Linked DNA regions of Mus musculus: region 2 is reported to be linked to region 1. Evidence: microRNA targets listed by miRTarBase, many of them from high-throughput screens and not tested one by one. Region 1 holds a microRNA gene; the other region holds the end of a gene's coding sequence.

Region 1 (3,152 bases):
GAGACAGGGAGAGAAGTCAGGGGCCTGCACTGTCACTGCAGGCCTGTACCTTCGGGATTCTGTGAACACTGCGTCACTCTGAAATACGGATTACTAGACCATGATGGTTTCAAAGTCACATCATTCAGTCATGGCAGGACAAGCCTTTCATCCCCACCTCTCTGGAGGCTGAGGCAGAAGGATCTCAAGTTCAAGGCAAGCCTGGCACCTTAGTGAGACGCTGACTCAAACACAGTAAGGGGCCAGAATGTAGAAGTGTCGGAGCACTTGCCTGGCATACACAAGCCTTTGGTTCAATCCCTAGTACTTAAAAAGTTAAGAATTCATCAATGATTCTTCCAGCATTTAAAACAAAGCTATTGCTTATATTATAATTGTATTAACTATGGTGTCTTAAGCAGTCTGTAAAACAGAAACTCACCCCGGGTGGTTTGTAGATTACATTGTCTCCGTTGTACCTTTCTGGTTTTGAAAGATCTCTAATAAGAGGGAAAAAAAAATAATGTGTTAGGGAAAACACTAAAAACAATGTACTTTAATAAAACAGACTTCATAATCATTGCAGTGCATGAATTATAAAAACATGAAATATATTCTTGTTCATTATCTGTCCCATCCACAAAACTGTACAATAGCAAGACAAGCATACATTTAAAGGCAAACTAAGATGAAACAGACTTTTTAAAATAATGTTTCAGTCAGCCACTTTGGTATTAGAATTTATAAGTCTGGATTGGCAGGGTCAGCATGATAGCAATTTTGACTATATATTGATTTTCATCTATAGATTAAGCACATTAATTTGTCCACAGAGATCAATAAAATATATTAACTTTATACTTCTTACTTTTTAAACTTGCAAATTCTAAAATGATATTGAATTGAGATAATCTACATCATAGAAAGTTTTTGGAAAGCATGTCTGTACACTTGGACACTTGCCATTTCCTAGGCCTAGTACAGTATCTGGCATGCAAATATGTGGTCTTGTATAACAAATAGTTACCTAGTACAATAACTATTTGGTGAGAGAGTCCTACAGAAAACCCTAGGTCAAATGAGTAAGTTTCTCTTCCTGTACATAACTTGAGGATTAAATAAACACCGACACATCTTCAATCTCTAAGGAAGCAAGTGGTGCTAACCTAGACGGAGAGTGGAATATAAGGAAGGAGCTCTAGTAGGGAACTGTGAGACACAGGTGCTACGAAGAGGGAAATGGGAAAAGGGAAGAGGGGATGGAGGGCAATACTGAGAAAGAGCCAACAGGAAGAGGGAGAGGACACTGAGACGTCTAAAAGCTGTAGGAAACATTATCTTATGTTTGCTTAAGAGCCAATATACTTTTATATGTACATAAATATATGTGTGTATATATGAAGTCCTAATGAAATTATACCACTGGGTGTGATGCTCTCTCCAAAAGCCATAACTATCTAACAAAAACTCCGTTTGTCAGGCTTGGAACACCTTCCTTCTAGTTGTTGATAGGAGTTGAGTTGAGAGAGGACCTAAATAATATGGGCTTCTGTCTTTGGTTGCTCCTTAGAACTTCAAAGGATGATCCTGTTGCTGAAGACACTATACTTTAGATACAGGTCTTGGAGGAATCAAGCTGCAACTGACCTAAAAGCCCCCTCCCTGAGGACCTGCTCTCACAGTACCCGAAGGTGCTATGTAATCGCCAAGGGAGGATGCAACAGCCCCACCTAGCTATAAAGCCTACAAACCACACAATACCAAGCAAGGCAAGACATCCCCAAGTGTGTAACAGCGGCATCTACTCCCTAGTAAACAAAGCTGTATAACTAGACTTACGACCTGCATAATAGGAAGGAATCTATGTTTTGTACTGCAACCTAGCCAGCTATCCACAGCTGGTGAGGTCACGGAACCTAGAAGAGAACTTACTGCTTCCACTTTCCTATAGAATGCAGTTAGAAATTAAACTATAGGAAAGTGGAAGCAGTAAGTTCTCTTCTAGGCTCATCACTAAGACCATTACAGAAATCCACAACTGGTTAAAATTCAGAAAAAAACTGGCCATGAAGTACCAAAGCTAGTTGATACATCTCCAATACAACCCCTACACTAAAGTAGCTCACTGAACACAGTATAAGAAGGGGGCAGAAAGACTGCAAGAGCCCGAGGACTTGGAAGCTCTGTTGGGTGACTGTGTCTTCTTACATGGCAGGGAAGCTGTACCCATGAAATCTCAACAATATGTCTGCATAAACAAGACTTGCACAATGGCAACATCAATTGACACTGCAACATGAATGGAGAAATATCACAAGGCTCCACCCTAGAAGAAGACTAAAGGCAATTGATTGACGGCTGTTGAGAGAGGAAGGATGAGCCTTTGCTAGGATGAGCTCACTGGCACGTTATCTAGTCTCAAGTGGTCGTCCCTAAACAAATACACATAAAATGGATTCAGCAAGATGTATGTGTTTGTGTGTAGATATATGTATATGTGTATATGTATTTATACATATATATATATATATATATGGAACAATAATTAAAGAAGCAGAGGTTGTGAATTTGAGAGGGAGTAGAGGGACAGGAGGAGTTGGTAGGAGAAGGCTGGGTAGAAATGTAAACGCAGCAGTCATGTGTGATAGTCTAAGAAATTGGAATTAAATAAGTGGGTCACAGAAAAAATGAAATCAAAGCAGACGTCAATGATATAGAAACAAAGAAAATATAACAGATCAGTTACTCTAATAGCTGGTTCTTTGCAATGATAAGCAAGATCTACAGACTCTTGGCCCACTTAACCAGAAGAAAGAAAGCAATAACCCAAGTTAACAGAATCAGAAATGAGCAGGGAACATTACATCAGATATCAAAGAAATACAGAATATTAAAAGGGAATACTTTTTAAAACTCTACTTCATTAAGTTGCAAAATATGAAAAAAATAGATGAATATTTTGATTCATCCAAAATATTAAAATTAAACCAAGATGACACCAATAACCAAAAGAGACCCACAAGAAAGGAGTTAATTGAAACTGTAATAAACTTCTAAGTCTAAAAGGCCCAGTCCAGGTGGATTCAAAGCAGACATCTATCAGACTTTCAAGAGAGAGCTATAACCAACGTTTCCTAAATTCTGCAAAAAAAACCAAAAAACAAAACAAAACA
Region 2 (3,000 bases), not on the chromosome of region 1:
TTCCAATTATTCCCTTTTTTTGGATTGGAATGGGTGTTGAAAATGTGCTGGATGAGTACATGATGATATAAAGAAAAAAATCTACATACCTATGCAAGGGCTAGGGCAATATATCTCAATGGCAGAAGACCCTCAACAACAATAATAATACATTTTATAAAAATAAATCTGTGTGTCCCTGTTACTTCATCACAATTGTAAAAGAAAGCTTTATGCTTCAAGAAAGGCTGAGAAAATGGAATAGGGTATATTTAGGAGATAAGTTTATAGCTACAGTTTCTTCTTCCCACTTGACTTTTCCTAGTTTCTAAACAGACTACTGTTCTTTAAAAGTTACTTCAAACCAACTGTGAAAAAAACAAAAGAAAAAAAAAGAAAAAAAGAAAAGAAAAGAAAGAAAAAAAGAAATCAAAGATGAAATGTTCCCTAAAAGACCTGTAAGGAAGTTGCTTTGTTTTGCAGAAACCTTCGAATGAAACCAAAATTGAAGTTGTACATTGTGTGGAAGAGGTTGGATTTGAAGTCATGGGAAATTCCACGTTTTGATGGCATTTTGCCATTCTGAAATGAACTCATACAGGACTCCGTGATAAGAGCAAGGACTGCTATTTCTTGGCAAGGAGGTATTTCAAATGAACACTCAGAGCCAGGCGGTGGTGGAGCTCGCCTTTAATACCAGCACCTGGGATGCACAGATGGGAGGATTTCTGAGTTCGAGGCCAGCTTGGTCTATAAAGTGAGTTCCAGGACAGCCAGAGCTACACAGAGAAACCCTGTCTCGAAAAAACAAACAAACAAACAAACAAAAATGAACACTCAGTTTGAATGCAAGTCACCAACCCATCCAGACATGAGTCACCAATGTCCCATTTCATAAAGTGTGCATGCCTCACTCAAACCTCCTTGCTCACAGCATAGCACCAGACTCACCCAGAGCATGGGCCTTTGGTTTCCTACCCAGAGTACCATGTTATACCAGTGTGTCTTTGAAAGTTGCTTGACTTACCTTGAACTTTTTGCACAGGAGACAGTTTTTTTAAGCTAATGTCACACATGTTTACTTTGGGTTAAGTTGCCAGTGGTAGCACTCAGCTACAGTGACAGGAGGAAAGGATAGAACTCATTGAGAGTGAACCCAAATTCAAGACTGTCTTTCCTGAAGCAAGTGGGAGACACAATTTCATGGTGCTTTTCCCCTTTGAGTTCTAGAATAGTTTTCTTTCTAGAACTGTGCCTGTGTCTTAAAGCATAAGGTAACATTGAGGCAAAAACAAAGACTATGTCCCACATGTCCCTGTGTTCCATAGGCCTGTTCAAGGAAATGTCTAAGCCAAAGTAAGTTTAAGTCACCGTGCCTGGGGTGAAAAAGATGGTTCAGATGACGAAGAAGCATGAGGGCCTGAGATTGATCAACCAGCATCAAGAAACAACAACAACAACAGCAGCAGCAACAACAAAACAGTGCAAGAAGCACATTCCTATAACCCCAGAGTTGGGAGATAAAGACAAGAGGATCCATGGGAATTGTAGTTCAACCAGTTTAGCCAATTATGTTTTCTCTAGGTTCACTGAGAGAAATGGTCTTAAAAATTTAAGGTGGAGAGTGACTAGGCAGATCCTCTGATACTGACTTCTGCCCTAAATATGCATACACATGTACACACACAACACAAAGACACCATTCCCTATTGAGAGAGAAGACAGAAGCTTGTTCAAGGATTAAATTCTTCAAGGCTTCTAGGTACTCTGGAAATGACCTGAGAAAGACATTGAAAATAATTCTGCTTTGGAGGTGATTGCTGGATCTAGAATGTACTTCCCAAAGAGATGTTTGATGAAAGAGCCTTCATGGCAACCTGTTGGTCAACTCATGCTTAGTCAATTCTAATCTCTTAAATTAGGGTTTCCTATACATATTACAATTGTATAAAAATGTATTCTCTAAATATCTTCATTAATGAAGCTGTATCTATAGGTCTTTTTGATGGGCTGAACATAGAAGCAAACACACTTATGTGTTGGGAAGAGGAATAAGTAGTGATAGAGGGACCTAGTGGTGGTTATTTTACATAGTCCTGAAGAGCTAAAGACAATGAAAGAAGAAATGGTACTCACAAGAGAGAGAGCTATGTCGGGGTCCTGTCAGCCAAATCTTGCTAGTATATGCAATAGTGTCTGGGTTTGGTGGTTGTATATGGGATGGATCCCTGGGTGGGGCAGTCTCTGGATGGTCTTTCCTTCCATCACAGCTCTGAAATTTGTCTCTGTAACTCCTTCCATGAGTATTTTGTTCCCCATTCTAAGAAGCAGTGAAGTATCCACACTTTGGTCTTCCTTCTTCTTGAGTTTCATGTGTTTTGCAAATTGTGTGCCTGGCAAATACAGAAGCAGATGCTCACAGTCATCTATTGGATGAAACACAGGGCCCCTAATGAAGGAGCCAGAGAAAGTACCCAAGGAGCTAAAAGGGTCTGCAACCCTATAGCAGGAACAACAATATGAACTACCCAGCAACCCTCAGAAATGTAAATGAAGAAAATATCTAATAAAAAATGCCTTAAAAAAAAGAAAAGGTACTCAAAATCCACAACATAACTTACTTTTTATGTACTTTATAGAGATGGTTTAGTCAGGTTTCATAATCTGGGTGAAGTGCACATGGAGTACAAAACATCCCTTGCATGGCTCTTATGCATTAACATAGAACCATCCACCATTCTGTGCTCAGAATGAAAGGTACAGCAGTCATGGACAACTGCTAATATTAGATCTTTTCTAAAGGGTCAGATCACCATACCAGATTCTCTGTACTGTCTCTCTGCTCTTTACAAGTCTGTACTGTGTCACTGGCATACACATTACTGCCTACCCCCATTAATGATACAGTAAATGTGGAAAAGAAAGGTCAATTGCTAGGAAAGGGTACAGTAATAAGACTCAGAGGAGCTCAGTAACACAGAGGAGATTATCACATGAAAGTTGAAGTTGACTTTAGGGGTC

The links. The annotated mature microRNA mmu-miR-1958 reads UAGGAAAGUGGAAGCAGUAAGU and lies in region 1 at 1,906-1,927, opposite strand. An mRNA with a match to its seed (bases 2 to 7 or 8) in the 3' UTR can be bound and repressed. Matches are read on the target gene's strand: a 7mer-m8 pairs with bases 2 to 8, a 7mer-A1 pairs with bases 2 to 7 and ends in A, and an 8mer does both.
Region 2: the mRNA of Il5ra is a reported target of mmu-miR-1958. Seed matches in the 3' UTR shown: 7mer-A1 at 950-956, 7mer-m8 at 1,152-1,158, 7mer-A1 at 1,904-1,910 and 7mer-m8 at 2,233-2,239.

What each region holds. Positions count from the first base shown.
Region 1 is chr4:48,211,229-48,214,380 of GRCm38, forward strand. Mir1958 (microRNA 1958) reads right to left here and starts at 1,987; the gene lies at 1,891-1,987. Erp44 (endoplasmic reticulum protein 44) reads right to left here. Exons shown (of 12, transcript NM_029572.3): 7 at 422-479.
Region 2 is chr6:106,709,928-106,712,927 of GRCm38, reverse strand. Il5ra (interleukin 5 receptor, alpha) reads left to right here. Exons shown (of 13, transcript NM_008370.2): 13 at 463-2,553. The coding sequence ends at 546. Among named protein-coding and RNA genes, the nearest start is that of Il5ra, 38 kb to the left of the region's middle.